Saccharomyces cerevisiae S288C: one gene and its partners. The protein of the gene in region 3 purifies or fractionates together with the protein of the main gene of each other region. This does not show direct contact. Each region holds a gene or a part of one and is shown on either strand. Other genes may lie near its edges.

Region 1 (3,749 bases), on a different chromosome or scaffold from region 3:
CGGCTCAACAAAGCGTTAATTGCCACATCGGAATTTAGCACCTTCTTGATCTCTGGCGTGCTAAAAAGGTGCGCCAAATCGTCGGTGCCACCATCGTGCGACGACTTCGCACTTACTGTGGCACTAGCTGGTTTCTTCGCAGTCTCTTCCATCTTGTCTATATCACTTCTCTTTTAATCTTCCGAGATTGTATGTTTTTACTTTACATACTATTTTGTTCACATTCTTTATTTTCTGGGTTCTTTTTCCATATATATCGAAAAAAAAGTCTATATAATGGCACAAATGGTGAATGCCAGCACAAGAAAAGGGGCGTATCTATATAAATCTATGCATCCTTGATCCTAGTTTGGCATGGGCTTGAGTGCGTACATCCTCACTGGGTACAATTCTCTTGGTAAGCCACGTTGTCTTTCACTGGCGATGAGCTTTAGGCCAGCTTCTTCGAAGATTTGCCTGAACTTAGCATCTGACCTTGTGACCGAAGAATCCGTTTCGTCGAAATCATCGGTATCTGTAGGTGTGTTATTTTCTTTGACCACGATTGTCCCATTAGGTTGCAAACCAACAATACATCTTTTCAGGAATGCGACGAGTTCTGCATCTGGCAGGTGTCCCACGCACCATTGGCACCAGATCAGCCAGTACTTGCCGGCATCGGGGGTCCAGTCCTGCATCCCTACTTCATATATTTGTCCAATTTGGCCTTTGTCTTTCAGCTCAGCCAATTCAACGTGCATTTGCTCGATAAAAGGCTTTACCGGTTCTACAAGGTCTATCTTAGCGGCGTGCTTGTGAAGCATGGTCTTGCTTACACGTCCAATCCCCGCACCAATGTCTACAGCGTACTTCACGTTGTTCTCCTGAGGCAGCATCCTCGACTTCAGTTTACGCAGGAAGTTATTGGATCCCAGGACATCCATTGTGGGTACTACTGTACCTTCTCCGTATCCACCTAGAACACCATCCACAGTGGCGTCCACATCCGTCCAATAGTCGATGGCATCTTCGTATTTGATATGGGAATCTGCAGGCACGTCCATCGTTGTTGTTTATGTATTCTTTCTTGGAGATGCTCTTGACACCGATGCACATTACCAGAGTGAAAAGTACTGATTAATAATTAAATTTTTCTTTTGATATTTTTTCTGAATATAAAGTTCTACACAGAGTCGTTACAATAGGTTATATACATGAGGATGTTCGTTACAGTAGGAGAAATAGAAAGCTCGCTAATTCTTACCCCAGGAGTAGATCCAATCGACAGAGTTTCTTATCTGTTCATTCCAAATATCTTTTATGCTCTCCCCCATGGTCCTGCTCCATGCAGTGCCATCATCCGTCACAACTAGCTTGCGGTTCCTGGTCTCCCCAGGTACCACTTCTTTTCTATCCACCAGGTCCTGTACCTGATGATCTTGTTTCAACCATGTAGCATCGTGATCGTAGAAGTAGCCATTGTTACTGTATCGGTACAGGTAAAAAACAGAACCGATTACTCCCACAGAGAGAGTCCACTTCACAGATCTTGCTAACGGACCCAATTTCGACATGATTCTCTCCGTTATCTGCTGGTTCTTAGTCCACTGTCTGTTCTGTCCCCCTTCTGTCCAAGAGATAGAATATAAAAAAGACTCATTATTTTTTTTTAGGTACTTCGCTTATTGGTGGTCAATGAGAAAAAAAATACTAAAAGCCATCGCCTCTTGGAGAAGAGCAAACTATCAAAAATCATCAAGCCGACATTTCCACATCGAGTCTCATAGTCTTTCAATCATGTTTCCCAGAGCTTCTGCATTGGCCAAATGTATGGCAACTGTTCATCGTCGTGGGCTACTCACCAGTGGTGCACAATCGCTAGTCTCCAAACCAGTCTCGGAGGGAGATCCAGAGATGTTTGACATCTTGCAACAAGAACGTCACAGACAAAAACACTCTATCACCCTTATCCCATCAGAAAACTTCACCTCGAAGGCCGTTATGGATTTGCTAGGTTCTGAGCTCCAAAACAAGTATTCTGAAGGTTATCCAGGTGAAAGATACTACGGAGGTAACGAAATCATCGATAAGTCCGAATCCTTGTGTCAAGCAAGAGCTCTGGAACTGTACGGATTAGACCCTGCCAAGTGGGGAGTTAATGTTCAACCATTAAGCGGGGCACCTGCCAATTTGTATGTTTACTCCGCTATCATGAACGTTGGTGAAAGATTAATGGGATTGGATTTGCCAGATGGTGGTCACTTGTCTCACGGGTACCAACTTAAGTCAGGAACGCCAATTTCTTTCATTTCCAAATACTTCCAAAGTATGCCATACCATGTCGACCACACTACGGGGCTAATCGATTACGATAACTTGCAAGTATTGGCCAAGGCATTCAGACCAAAGGTGATCGTGGCCGGTACTTCCGCGTACTCGAGATTAATAGACTACGCTAGATTCAAGGAAATTTCCCAAGGATGCGGCGCATATTTGATGAGTGATATGGCACACATATCCGGTTTGGTGGCAGCCAATGTTGTCCCATCTCCATTTGAACATTCCGATATAGTTACCACAACCACTCACAAGTCCTTGAGAGGCCCAAGAGGTGCTATGATTTTCTTCAGAAAGGGTATCAAGTCTGTCACCAAAAAGGGCAAGGAAATCCCATATGAGTTAGAAAAGAAAATCAACTTCTCAGTTTTCCCAGGACATCAAGGTGGTCCTCACAACCATACTATCGGTGCAATGGCAGTGGCATTAAAGCAAGCGATGTCTCCAGAATTCAAAGAATACCAACAAAAAATTGTCGACAACAGCAAATGGTTTGCTCAGGAACTAACCAAGATGGGTTATAAGTTGGTTTCCGGCGGTACCGATAACCACTTGATTGTTATTGACTTATCCGGTACTCAGGTAGACGGTGCTCGTGTCGAGACAATTTTAAGTGCCTTGAACATTGCTGCTAACAAGAACACCATCCCAGGTGATAAGAGTGCTCTTTTCCCCTCTGGTCTAAGAATCGGTACTCCAGCAATGACCACGAGAGGATTTGGCCGTGAAGAGTTTTCTCAAGTCGCAAAGTACATTGATTCTGCCGTTAAGCTCGCTGAAAATTTGAAAACTTTGGAACCAACAACGAAACTAGATGCAAGATCAAGACTCAATGAGTTCAAGAAGTTGTGTAATGAATCTAGTGAAGTCGCTGCTTTGTCTGGCGAGATTTCCAAGTGGGTCGGTCAATACCCTGTCCCAGGTGATATCTAAGTAATTATGATTTAAAATCAAATACTTTATGTATTAACATATACAGCCACTGCCGCTTTTTTTTTTATTTATTTCCAGTATATTTCCCTGTTCATTGTTCTTTGACAATGTCTTGAATTGACTTTCGGGAACCAAACTGATTATTATTTTATTCAATGTATCGAAATTGTACCCTGTCTTTGCACTTACGGCCACATACGGCAGACCCTGTAACTCCGCCGGTATAGTCACTTCCCCTGAATGCTCTTCGCAGACTAAATCGTACTTATTGCCCACGATAATTACCTGCGTTCCCTGAGCACGGTCCTGTAAATCTTGAAACCATGTCTTTGCACATTGCAGACTGGATACGTCTCCCAATTCGAATACAATCAAAGCAATATTCGCATCTCGATAATACATTGGCACCAGTGATTTATACCGTTCCTGACCCGCCGTGTCCCATATCTCCATATGGATACGTTTCTCCGTAGAGGAGTCGTTAGAAGGAACCTCGATTG
Region 2 (3,572 bases), on a different chromosome or scaffold from region 3:
CGAGAAAAAGGCAGGTGTGTTTTCAGACGATGATGAAGAAAATGACCAAAATTTCGAAGCTGAGAGCGACCTTTCCGATGGGAGTGGCCAAGAATCCTCAGACGGTGCAGAAGACGGAGAGGAAGCAGAAGAAGATGATGAAGAAGACGATGAAGAGGAAGACAAAAAGGGCCAAAGCGCTTTGAATAGAGATAATAGTTTTGCTTCTATAAATGGTCAACCAGAACAGGAACTCCAATACAAAGAGTTTAAGGAGCCGTTAGAACTCGAAGATATTCCGATAGAAATTGATAATGATGACGATGAAGATGATGAGGATGGATCCGGAGTAGAATACGATTGACTTAGATTCGATATTATAATATAGCATGAATACGCATATGTAAGAGTTCATAAATACCACTTTTTTTATCCTGAAGAATAACATGGCTTAAAAATCAAAAAAATTATGGATAACAACTTGATTATTTGCGGCCATTTATGCAGTCGTCTAAACTAAACTACTCTAGTATATAGTTTCCTAGTTTATCCATTTTTAGATTTTCAACACCACTGGAAAGCGCCTCTATAATACGTTCGTTCTCCTCTTCTTGTGCATCTTCACTGTCATCTTCAGAACTTTCATTATCAAGTTCGGAGTCATAGTATTCATCCTCCTCTGAATAATCGCCCTCCCCATTTTCTTCTTCGGCCTCGTCATTAGACATATCGTCATCTGAATTATAAACAGCATTTCTCATGCTTTCAACGGCAGTTTCCAGGCCCCTATCTCCTGGATGCTTTTTGCTAAATCCGGAAGCCTGCACCAATTCATCCAAATTGTCGGTTCTTTTAACGTCCCTTTTGAAATCTGGATACGCATATTTATAACCATCGCCGAAACCTTCAGTGTCGAGCATTGATGAATCAGGTTTTGGTTCGTACTTCAGTTTCTTTTTGAAGAAACGACGAATACAGTCAACATCCCTTTGGAAATAATAGTCGGCGTCTTGGTGTTGAATAGATATACATTGTGGAAAATCAATAACTACGAACCCACAATCGTTTTCATCCTCTAGTTTGTCCTTTATCATAATATTAAACTCATTAAAATCACAATGGATAAGTCCGCTATTTGCTAGATCAACGATGAAACACATCAGATCACTATAAAGCTTGGGTATATTCTTATGTTTTCTTAATCTCCTCATTGGGTAACCCTCGATAAGCTCCATAACGACTATATGACGCGAGTTATCGAATGGCTCAGGGACCTTGAAACCCTTAGAATAAAGCATGGACATAAACTGATATTCTTTATTGGCTGCCAAACGTGAAAGATGCATCCAGTTTGCCCCCTGGTTGGATTTCTTCAGATAATCTCTATTATTTCTGACGGAATGAAAAGAGGTTCTACCTAATCTGTGAATTTTCATTACTCTAGGGTTTCCATTTTTGTCACTTACTTTATAGATGTCAGATTCCTTACCAACACCAATAGTGTTACCGACAGAATAGACAGTGTCTCTGTTTAACATGGTTTTCAAAGCCAAATAATCAATACCGTTATAAGTTAGCCTGTAACCATCATATTTGACATTTCTCATTTTGGAAATAAGGCTAAGCTTGGCCAAATCACTAATGGCTCGGTTTGTTCCGGACTGCGATCTCATCCCCGAGATTTGATGAATCAAGGGAGTTGGAACGACTTCGTGACTTCTAGAACCTTGTTCAACGGCCTGGAGGACACGAAAATCATCAGTTGTCAAATATCTCATATGAGAAGTATCCAATTTCATTCTAGTCTGATTGAAAGTATGTGGTAGAAGAGATGTTTAAAATAGTATTGATTGGTCAATAGAAAGACGAGCCAAGGATAAATGGTTTAATATTATTGAGTAGTTCTTACTTTAAGCTAATTACTGATGATCCTTGACCTTACCAAAATCATGAATTGCGGGTTCCAACTTCAACAGAGAACCTCATCGCCAAATTTTTAGCTTATTTTTTCACGTTTTCTTTTCTCGAATAAGTCATTTGTTACGACATCATAATAAAACGAGTAGTATATATGTATATATAGATAAATCAAGTATGTAGTTAGCTAAAAATGACACTCACTCTGTTGAGCCATTCACCAACGTGAACCGCCATTGAATCCTTGACGACCTTGGCCCCCGAATTCCTGAGGGTTTGGACCACCGAATCCTTGGCCACCTGGCCCGCCGAATTCTTGAGGATTTGGACCACCGAATCCTTGGCCACCTGGACCACCAAACTCTTGTGGACCAGGACCTCCAAATCCTTGTGGGCCTTGTCTTCCGAAACCTTGACCGCCAGGGCCGCCTGGACCGCCAAATCCACCGTTATTGTTGTTATTGTCCTGACGGTGATGGTTGTTGTGTCCACCTTGAGGAGCACCTCCGAAGTTTGAGTTGCCGTATTGCTCTTGTTGCTTATGCTCTTTACGCTCATCAGATATCTTGTTGGCAAGGAATGCACCACCTATGGCGCCCAGCACACCACTCAACTTAGAATGGTTGTTCGACACCTTAGATCCAGCGTACGCACCGGCACTGCCACCTACAATAGTGGAAAATAAACCACGTTCACCGTTGGGGTTACCATTGTCGGCACCATATTGACCGTTGTTTGGAGCACCAGTTCTTTCTTGGTTGTTTTGCTGGTTATATTGACCTTGTTGGCCACTTGAGTAGAATTCGTTTGCAGACATTTTGGACACTTGTTAGATTGTCTTAAGTGATCTATATTTGGAAGGCTTACAAGTGTTTAGCAAGACAAATTAAAGTCTTTCTTTATAAATGACTGCTCAGATTGAGTTTTTTGCCAAGCCCAACAGCCAGCCCCTTTTCCGGTATGGGCTGTGCGGGTGCCGGAATTATTAATACTGAATATTAGCCCACGCCTCATTTTTAGCATGAACGAAGAATGCTAGCGGGGCGAAATGCGAATACAGTAAAAACTCCACATGGTTGTTTTATGCAGCCGAAAAGCAGTTTCATACGTGCCACAGCTTTGGGCAGCCAGAAAAGTTGCCTTAGTATGTTGGTGTGTATCAGTCAAACACTCGTTTGATGCCTCAAGAGGGGAAACAGAAGAATAATTGAATTTATGATTGTATGATATCTTGATCGTGATATACAGAACTAAAACTTCATCTAAGATACAAAAGCTAAGACATTAAAAATGAAAAATATATATATGTGTATAACCTTAACCAGAATGACATCTTAACGAGAAGACATGGCCTTGGTGACAACTCTCTTCAAACCAACTTCTGCCTTTCTCAACTCATCAGCGGATGGGTCTTCGATTTGCAAAGCAGCCAAAGCATCGGACAAAGCAGCTTCGATCTTGGACTTGGAACCTCTCTTCAATTTAGAAGACAAGACTGGGTCAGTGACGGTTTGTTCGATGGAAGCGACGTAGGATTCTAGTCTTTGTCTAGCTTCGTGCTTCTTAGCAAAAGCTTCATCAGCAGCCTTGAACTCTTCGGCTTGGTTAACCATCTTTTCAATTTCTTCAGAAGACAATCTACCGACAGCGTTGGAGATAGTGATGTTAGAAGACTT
Region 3 (4,233 bases):
GTTGTTGTTGTTGGCGCTGGTTATATTGGTATTGAGCTAGCAGGTGTGTTCCATGGGCTGGGATCCGAAACGCACTTGGTAATTAGAGGTGAAACTGTCTTGAGAAAATTTGATGAATGCATCCAGAACACTATTACTGACCATTACGTAAAGGAAGGCATCAACGTTCATAAACTATCCAAAATTGTTAAGGTGGAGAAAAATGTAGAAACTGACAAACTGAAAATACATATGAATGACTCAAAGTCCATCGATGACGTTGACGAATTAATTTGGACAATTGGACGTAAATCCCATCTAGGTATGGGTTCAGAAAATGTAGGTATAAAGCTGAACTCTCATGACCAAATAATTGCTGATGAATATCAGAACACCAATGTTCCAAACATTTATTCTCTAGGTGACGTTGTTGGAAAAGTTGAATTGACACCTGTCGCTATTGCAGCGGGCAGAAAGCTGTCTAATAGACTGTTTGGTCCAGAGAAATTCCGTAATGACAAACTAGATTACGAGAACGTCCCCAGCGTAATTTTCTCACATCCTGAAGCCGGTTCCATTGGTATTTCTGAGAAGGAAGCCATTGAAAAGTACGGTAAGGAGAATATAAAGGTCTACAATTCCAAATTTACCGCCATGTACTATGCTATGTTGAGTGAGAAATCACCCACAAGATATAAAATTGTTTGTGCGGGACCAAATGAAAAGGTTGTCGGTCTGCACATTGTTGGTGATTCCTCTGCAGAAATCTTGCAAGGGTTCGGTGTTGCTATAAAGATGGGTGCCACTAAGGCTGATTTCGATAATTGTGTTGCTATTCATCCGACTAGCGCAGAAGAATTGGTTACTATGAGATGAAGCAACGAAACTAGACGTCCAATCTGCTGTTGCTATACTGGACTTTTGTACTCTTGTAAACAATCTTATATAGCATCCTGAAATACGTAGTAATTTTGTCATTTCTGTTCAAGGACAAGGGTTCCTTTTTTTTTCAGACTATTAGCTACTGTGGACTCGCTTGGATATTCAGTTGAGGATACATTCCGACTCTCGTTTACAATACATATGATTATTTTTCTTTTTGTTAATTATATAAAAAATAAAGTTATTTGATTTTAAGCTTAAAAATACACAAAATACAGAATAAGAAAGGAGTTTTTGAACAAAAGAATTTATCTTTTACTGCTTTCTAACTTTAAGCCTTCAAAGAAGAAGCTCTTCTCTTTCTGATTTCAGCCTTCTCAGCCTTTCTTTCAGACAATCTCTTAGCCAACAATTGAGCGTATTCGGCAGCAGCTTCTCTTTGAGCTTGAGCGTTTCTGACCTTCAAAGCTCTTTGGTGTCTCTTTCTTTGCAATCTTTGAGGAGTAACCAATCTTTGGATCTTTGGAGCCTTGGTGTAAGTCTTTTCACCCTTGGTGACTTCTCTTCTGATGACGAAATCACGAACGTCATCTTCCTTGGACAAACCGAAGAACTTTCTGATGTTGTTAGCTCTCTTTGGACCCAATCTCTTTGGAACAGTAGTGTCAGTTAGACCTTCCAATTCTTGCTCACCCTTCTTGACAATGACCAAAGCCAAGACAGCCAAATCTGGACCAACAATGGCACCTCTGACGGACTTTCTCTTTCTTTCACCATCACGTCTTGGTCTGTAACAAGAAACGTTCTTGGTCAACAACAACTTGATTCTAGTTGGCAACAAAACACCTTGCTTCATTGGGAAACCTTGTTTGTCGTTACCACCAGAGATCTTGAAGACGTAACCCTTGAATTCGTCACCAACGGCTTCACCATCGACTTCTTGACCGATTCTCTTGTCGAAGAAAACACGAATACGGTGTTCATCATCAATTTCGAAGGTCTTTTGAGACCCGTTAACTGGGTAAGAAATGTTCAACTATTTTAAATTTTCAACAGGTTATTAAGAAAATTTGTTAGTATACTATTGCAAAATTAATGTTTGAATAGGGTGAAGTTTATTACTCTAGAGAAATTATTAAGTGGAAGATGAAAAAGCTTGTCTTTTATTGACTATACTCCAAGTATATGAACTGCTTCAATTTCACGGTTTGTAGTAACAGTATATGTAAACCCGCTCTGTTTGTTTAAAAATAACGCCACAAACGCATCAATTAGTATATGGTAGTCTTCCTGCTTCTTTCCATAAAAAATTTCTAAAATCTTTACGACGTCTGGTTCTGTTTAGTTCTTTCTCACTTTCAAACTTTCATGCCATTTTTCCACATATAAAGTTCTCTGTTGCCCCTCAATAATAGTATCATAAATCATACCTTCATGATGTATAGTCTGTCTTCACTCTTTTGTCACTTCTCTTAAGCAAATATAAAAATTCAATGACGAATAAGCATTAACCACTTTATCCTTGGTAACACTGTATATGAAATTTCAAAGAAACTGCAGCATCATGATGTTCCTAGACGTCGGTACTGGAATTCCCACCCAGTAGACTTACCTAGGTAGCGGCATTCCTCCAACGCTTACCAGGAGAGATAACTTTCCCGCTAGAATCGATAGAGGAGCGTGGAATTACGCCAATCTTCCAAGTGGGAACGGGCAGAGTGTCCAGTGGCTTCCTGCCTACAGAATGCACGGCCCCAGTGGGATTGGTGCAATCGCGCACGTTCCAACTTTCCGATGCTCCGGCGCGTCGATGACAATTTTACACATGAAAAACGAACTATGTAAAAATAGTTGAAATGTATGGGTTCAATGAGAACTCGAATGTACGGATGTTTTCTCTGAATGAACCTCTTGTCTTCTTCCGGCTTCTGCTTACATCAAACTCCAGGCCAGGCGGCAATTCATTTTAGTTGCTAATGCACAAAAGAGTACTTAAATACTATCATTATTCAGAAAATGCAATTGAGTTTTTCGTTTTTCTTCCTTGTTTGGGTTATTCACTACGTAAATATGTGCATTTACAATAATATAAATATAAATTTTTTAAATGAAAAGAAGTTTCTTATGCTTGGAATATTCATACTGGTCAAATTTTTTGGTTTATATTTTGCTTGAATTTTTTTCTCCTGAAATATCAGTCGAAAAATTAAAGAATTTAGTGCCTAGTGGTGTTTGAGCAGTATTTATGTATGGAGTCAGCCCGGTATTTCCATTATATGCGGTGGCAGCAGCATCATATGTACTTGAGTTGGACTGATTGTTCGAGTCACCATCGGTAGTATGTTCTGAAATAGCAGCTCCATTTACGGGTGCATCTTCATTATTACTATAGTAACTGTTATTGCTATTGTTACTGTTATTGTCGTTGCCGTTGTTGCTGTTGTTGTTGCTGCTGTTGTTGTTGTTATTGTTGTTGTTGTTGTTAGTGTTGTTAGTGCTGCTGATATTGCTGGAGTTGCCGTTGTTTACGGCCGTCTGTACGGGAGGGAAAGTACCAGGATTGTTTGTGTTTCCCGGCTTGGCACTGTTGGGTCCCATTGACCAGTCTGGAAACATCGATATAGAAGAAACATTTGGAGAATTACTCATCAAATCATGTACGAACTTCGATGGCAGTGAACCAGTTGGAGGGCCATTGCTGGTTTCAGGGCCGGAAAAAGTTGAAGGGGGGCGTCCGGTTAATGTTGTAGTTAATGGTACTGTTTGGCTCTGTTTTTTGAAAGACATTTGTTGGTATTGCTGGGTTTGTCTTTGAGCTAAAAAAGATGTATTTTGTTGGAAAGGTCCGCCAGGAATATTCGATGGTTGCAAGGGAGTGGCAATGTATGGCTGTGTTGCAGAAAAAAGAGGTGAAGACCCACTTCCGAAAGGATAAGGGTGATTGTTATTGTTACTGCCATTACCATTGTTAGAACCGTTAGGCGCATTTGCATTTGGCAATTTTATTACCATTCTGCCATTATTACCTTTTTGGAGAGTTAAGGGGCCTGAGGCAGATGCGGATAGTGGAGAAATTTTGCTAGACCTACTTGTTTTGTTTTCTTTCATTATCTGCGAAGAGCCCATACTATTGCCGTTGGCCGATGTGGAGGAGGCAGAGGAGGGTTCACTTGGAATAGCGGAATTACTGCTGAAATTGTTGTTCGGAATTCTCACACGAAGTACCGGTCTGGCGGACAATTTCCTTCTTGCTTTGACAGTCTGCTGAATAGAGTCTTCCAAAGAATTAGATGGTGACTGAGTGTAGTTGCTGTTGTCATTATTATTGCTGCCACTATTGTTAATTTTGTGCTCCTGTTTAGGGGTCCTTGA
Region 4 (5,561 bases), on a different chromosome or scaffold from region 3:
GTGATCGTCTCATTCCAACATCTCCACAGAAAACGAACATTAATACCAGGAAGATCCAAAGGGACAATGAAACCAAGAGCAGTTTACAATCAAATAAGTTATATTGCTCCGAAGATTGTAAGCTGAAGGATTCGAACCCTCTTAATGAGAAATTATTATCCCACTTGCATAAAAAATCAAAAACTTCTCATTCGCATAATCTCACTCCACCGCTTTCATATTCTAAAAATTTAACTGCATCAAACCTCTTCGAGCCGACTACCTCACTATCTTCATCTCCGACATCTTCAACTATCCCCTTTGACGAGTTGGAGAAGCTAGAGTCCTTATTAATTTCACCATTGCTGCTACCTCAGGATGGTATAGTCAATCCTAAGCAGGAGTCTAATCCTTCTCGTGTTGACGAATATGATGAAAATGAACATTATTTGAACTTAGCCGACTCTCTTAGACTCGATTCTAGTTACCAATTGCATTCAAAGGCACATTTGGGTTACGAAAACAACTTGCCACGATCAAACGATCTAATTGATGATCATTTGATCTCAGATCAGATCATTGAGAATAACTACAACCTATGGTTTAGACTATCCTCCAGTTAAACGGCTTCACTTGCTTCGTATCTTCTTCGACTTGCCTTTAACCTACTCATGATTCATGCTTATTTTTTCTTTTTCGATTTCCTTTTCTAGTCATCCTAAAAAAAAAAAACCTACACATATACATATATACATAGTTCTCTACACATCCTTTTGATAAAGAAAATATGTACGTACATCTGCATTAAAAAAAAAAAACAAAACCCTCAATATTTGGGGAAAGAATTCTATAATGTAAACTGTATCACGCATACTTTTTGCTGTCTTCGTCTTCATACATATAATATTTTTAGTTTAAGGTGAAAGGATAATTAAAATATCAATTTCTAATATAACTACATACCACGGAACGCATTTTTGCTAGCTCTTCTTCTATTTTCGAATCTGGGCTTCGACCTACCATTGTCCTTCTTATTACCATTTTCGTCAATACCTTCTTCATCCGATGAATTATCATGACGCCTGGATTTATAATTTCCGTCTTTTTTGCTTTTTCTTTGAGGAATAAAAGTAAGTTCTGCTTCACCGCGTTGGTTACGACGTAAAATGGATTCATTTGATTTCTTTCCATTTTCCACCTCAAGCAATTCGCCTACTTGTTCGCCAAATGTAACGTGAGCACTTTCGTCTCTTTGCGTACTCGTGGAAGTGCCGGCTTTCATTTCGTTCATAAAACGTTCGCTTTGCTCCTTTTCCTTCTTTCTGCGTTCAATTAGTGCCTTTTGCTTTTCCATCTTTCTCAAATCTTTTTCACTTAATTCTTCCTTATTTGACTTTTGGTTCGTTTCATCATCAGATTCTTCTTCATCAGACTCTTCATCCTCGTAGTCATAGTGACCTCTGCCATCCTTCATTGCAATTCTTTCTTCGTCGGACTCTTCGGCAGCAGTTAGCGCCCTAATACGTTTAGCAGCACCTTCTTCGGTTTCTTTGATGGATTTTACTGGATTCAATTGTTTGAAATCATAGTCATCTTCATCGACTTGAAATTCTTCATCCTCAAACATTTCTTTGAAACGGTCATCCGTAAGAACCTTTCCTGCAACTTTATCACCACGTTTTTGAGATAGTTTATCAACCAATGTTTTATTGACTTTAATTTTAGGTTTTTGAACAGCCCCTGAACTTCTGATTCTGGATTCTCTTTCTTTCTCAATTCTACGTCTAATTTCTCTTTCTCTTTCATCTTTGTAGGCATCTGGATTAGCAATTAATGAAACCTTATCGTAAAGTTCAGTGTTAATAAAGAAACCATGCATGTATGCTCTTAATACTCTGGATCCCACCAAGTGCGTTAAATTCAATTTTTTAACGTCGTCTCTAGTAATGAACCTGTAGTTAGAGTAAACAGTGTCACTTGGTTTTTCTTCTAATTCTTCTGTGATAGAATCCAAGAATGAGCACCAGCGTGGAGATGGTCCTAAACTTGGAATATAATATGTATGCATGGGAATACTTTCGTTAGCGGTGAAAAACATACCTGTACCTGGTACATGCTCAATGTCGTTAATATCAACACTAGGCTCCATAGAAGCGTATGCCTTACCATCTAGTCTATCCCATATTTTTGCAATTCTCTTGTCACATGTAACAATTTTATTTTCCGTGCCGACGTTATCCAACCAAATAATTTTCTTAATGTCAAACCCATAACCTTGGTCTTTAATAATGGAAGGTTCAGAAGTACGCAAGTCATAAATGTATGAATAACCGTTCGACGTACCACATGCAAAAGTTAACCCGTCATTACGGAAACTGGTTGTGGTGACTTGGAATGGTCTGTTGTCAATATTGTTCTCTAAATATAGCTTTGAAACACGGGAACGCGACCTTGGATCCCAGAATTCCACTACATTTGTTTCCGTGCCTGCCGCTAACAACCCATTTACTTCATTGATAGAAACATGGTTCACGCCTTCAGTATCCAACTTGAATGGGTTTAAAAATCTCCCCTTTTCCAAGTTCAACCTGTATAACTCATTACCGCTCGCACCAACATATAAATCACAGTTTACCTTATTGTAAACTAAACTTCTCCCAAATTTAGGAATTCTTGTGGTGTAATGTAGACCACCTTTGTTTTGGAATTGAATACTTCTATCATTTTGTAAATGTACACTTTTAGTCCAATCGTCAGAGAGAATAGTGAAATCCACGTTTTCAGCATCTGTGTGTCTATCGAACTTCAGTGACAAATTAGCAAAATCGTAGACATGGATCTGAGGTTTGTATGTACCGGTAGCCATGCAATATTGCCCATCTCTACTCACTTTAATCTTATTGGAGGCTTCGCTAAATTCAAAATCTTGAATCAGTTCTACTCTATTTTGATATTCTAAATCATTCTTTAATTGCCTTTTGCGCTTTTTCGCAATCCAGTCTGGAAGTGATCTTGAAACGTTTGTACCAGAAACCTGATATACTGAAACATCATTTGCGGAAGTAGATTTCAAAACCATAATGTCCCCTTTTTGAAGATATATGTTGATACCTGTAACTGATGTAATAAATGATGTGTTACTGATTACAGCCGATGAGATGAGATGAGCTTAGCTCAAAATTTTCAATTTTTTTTTTTCTTAATTTTTTTTAAGATCATATTTGGTTACCCGACCATGAAGTGACATTTGAAGAATTGATTTATATTTTTAATATTGCAAGATGTGCGAAAACTCACCATTACAGAGATAACTAAAAGTCTTATCTCATCACTATCGGATCTTTCCACTTAGTATTTTCTACGGTTAATTTAAAAATCAATAATAAAACAAAATCATCAGCGAAAATTGTGTATATAGCGTGTATAAAAAATATATAAATCTTTAAAAGCATACCTCATTAAAAGCCTAAGCAGCAAAGTGTTTCAAAATTTGCTCAGCAGCATGAACACCACTCAAAGCCATAGCTCCAAAAGTTGGACCCATACGGTTTAATCCATCCAGTTCAGCAACTTCCATACCAGCAAAGTACATGTTGTCAACACCGGCGTATGCACCAGAGTGAATAACGACATCGTGTTCGGCATGGTTCATGTCCAGACCCTTCATACCGCCCAATTTTTGGTTTTGATCAATGTCGACGATTCTCTTGGCGCAGAAAGCACCAAATGGACCATCATGACCGGTAGTGGATAAAATGACACCATGCTTTTGACTCAAGTCACGAGTTCCGTCATTTTTGTAACCTGCCAATTCAATTACGTTAGGGTCCATGCAACATTGAGTACCGTGAGCTTGGGTAACTAACGTCCAGTTGGTGACAACACCAGCAACGGTGACTTCGCCCTTTTCGGTAGGTGGTCTGGTAACCAAATCTTCAACACAGGTAGCATTGAACAGTTTAACATTTGGTAATTGCAAGACCTTTGAAAGGACAGTAGAGATGAACAAAGCGGCATGCTTAACGACAACATAGTCACCTTCGTCTTCGTAAGGGATTTCCAACTCTTGTAAGAACAAATGAGCTGGTTTTCTCATAACCATGGCACTAAATAATTGACCACCCAACCAACTACCACCACCTGGTGCAACTGAACTTTCGATAATACAAACCTTCAAGTCTGGTCTGTTCTTGGCGATGACGTAAGCGGCGGATAAACCTGAAGAGCCCGCACCGACAATAATCACGTCAGAAACGGCAAACTTGTCAAGATCCTTGAAATAACGAGAAGTCATAGCACGAGAGACAGTGGATTCGCGGATGGGAGCAAATTTAAAGTCAGACCAATCTTCTTTCTTAACGATGTCAGATAAGCAGTGAGTAACTGGAGTAGAGTTTAAGTGCAATTGAGAGGCACTTGTGGAAGTAGCAGTAGAGGTAGCAGACATTTTGATAGTTAGTTGATTTTTTTGGTTGTGATTTATTATTTCTAGATGATAAGAAAGAGAACATAAAAGATATTTCCCGACTACTTAATACACAATTTATTCCAATATTTATATATCTGGGTAGTTCATAAATTGAAAATCAAAAAATCAATTTCATGATCCATTTCTATTAGTGCTCGTAAAAAAATTTACGATTGAACTTGGTAACTGATAGAATACCAGATTCTTTACTATCAATTATGTATGTTTTTTAACGTGCATAATTATTAAAAGACCATTTGATTTTAAAAATGACGTTAGGAGATCGGACATTTTATGAAAACTTCAGAAAAAGGGCTTAAAGTAGAGTATCGTTTTGGACGTCTACAGGAAAATGGGGTGGTAAATGTTCTTGGCGTAAAAAAAAACTATTCACTAAAGCAATTGAGTGCCGATCCCTGTTGAGGAATGCTCATAAAGAGAAAGTATCAGAATTATTCCCCGCCGTAAATTTGTAAAAAAAGGGTAAAAAACGGTTAATCCTGAAGGGGCTTGGAAAGCTCGCCAGCTTCTTGTAATTCTTGACGCCACATATAGCAATCACTAACGAAGAAGTTGACTTTTTAGGGGGTTGATAAGCATTTTTCCCACCCATTTGCATCAGTTAATGTCAATTCAGTCATGATTTGCAAGATATTAGGAGAAAAAGTATGAAAATTAAAAAAGTAATCTTGAGCGGTACGAGAATCGAACCCGTGTCCCCACCTTGGAAGGGTGGGATGATAACCACTACACTAACCGCCCGGGGTTAACTTGAAAGCTCTAAAAGCTCGTTTTCCATATATAGGCATGTTACAATTCCTTTCCATTCTTTCCATTTTATCCATTATCTGATGCATTTCCCTGATAGAATAAGAACAAACTACCATCCATCGATTAGTATTCATGTCACTAGTATATTAATTATCATTTATGATGTAAAAAGAGGACATAAAAGTTATAGAACAGTCATTAGGTTTAATAAAAGCTTAAATAAGAGGATCGATGAAATAGTAGGATAGTGAAACATATAAAATGGAAAAGAAATAATAATACTATTAGGTAGATATATTGATTCCCTTTGGATTCCTGTATCTTGCAGAAGAACTTTCAACAT

What was found.
Region 1: the proteins of RPS6A (region 3) and SHM1 purify together in Saccharomyces cerevisiae (affinity purification with mass spectrometry, with the first as the bait; 2 studies listed by BioGRID). This does not show direct contact.
Region 2: the proteins of RPS6A (region 3) and RIO2 purify together in Saccharomyces cerevisiae (affinity purification with mass spectrometry; 5 studies listed by BioGRID). This does not show direct contact.
Region 4: the proteins of RPS6A (region 3) and ENP2 purify together in Saccharomyces cerevisiae (affinity purification with mass spectrometry, with the first as the bait; 2 studies listed by BioGRID). This does not show direct contact.

What each region holds. Positions count from the first base shown.
Region 1 is NC_001134.8:734,488-738,236, forward strand, and holds SHM1 (glycine hydroxymethyltransferase SHM1), read left to right. Parts: upstream 1-1,776; coding exon 1,777-3,249; downstream 3,250-3,749. Other genes in the region: GTPase-activating protein RGD1, read right to left, coding at 1-152; TAE1 (N-terminal protein methyltransferase), read right to left, coding at 345-1,043; MIC12 (Mic12p), read right to left, coding at 1,233-1,553; Rab family GTPase YPT10, read right to left, coding at 3,283-3,749. UniProt on the Saccharomyces cerevisiae protein: Interconversion of serine and glycine.
Region 2 is NC_001146.8:253,559-257,130, reverse strand, and holds RIO2 (protein kinase RIO2), read right to left. Parts: upstream 1,779-3,572; coding exon 501-1,778; downstream 1-500. Other genes in the region: RTT106 (Rtt106p), read left to right, coding at 1-343; YNL208W (uncharacterized protein), read right to left, coding at 2,114-2,713; Hsp70 family ATPase SSB2, read right to left, coding at 3,231-3,572. UniProt on the Saccharomyces cerevisiae protein: Required for the final endonucleolytic cleavage of 20S pre-rRNA at site D in the cytoplasm, converting it into the mature 18S rRNA. Involved in normal export of the pre-40S particles from the nucleus to the cytoplasm.
Region 3 is NC_001148.4:376,099-380,331, forward strand, and holds RPS6A (40S ribosomal protein eS6 RPS6A), read right to left. Parts: upstream 2,298-4,233; coding exon 2,292-2,297; intron 1,898-2,291; coding exon 1,193-1,897; downstream 1-1,192. Other genes in the region: glutathione-disulfide reductase GLR1, read left to right, coding at 1-855; RLM1 (Rlm1p), read right to left, coding at 3,022-4,233.
Region 4 is NC_001139.9:779,264-784,824, reverse strand, and holds ENP2 (ribosome biosynthesis protein ENP2), read right to left. Parts: upstream 3,059-5,561; coding exon 935-3,058; downstream 1-934. Other genes in the region: ECL1 (Ecl1p), read left to right, coding at 1-602; THI4 (thiamine thiazole synthase), read right to left, coding at 3,446-4,426. UniProt on the Saccharomyces cerevisiae protein: May be involved in rRNA-processing and ribosome biosynthesis.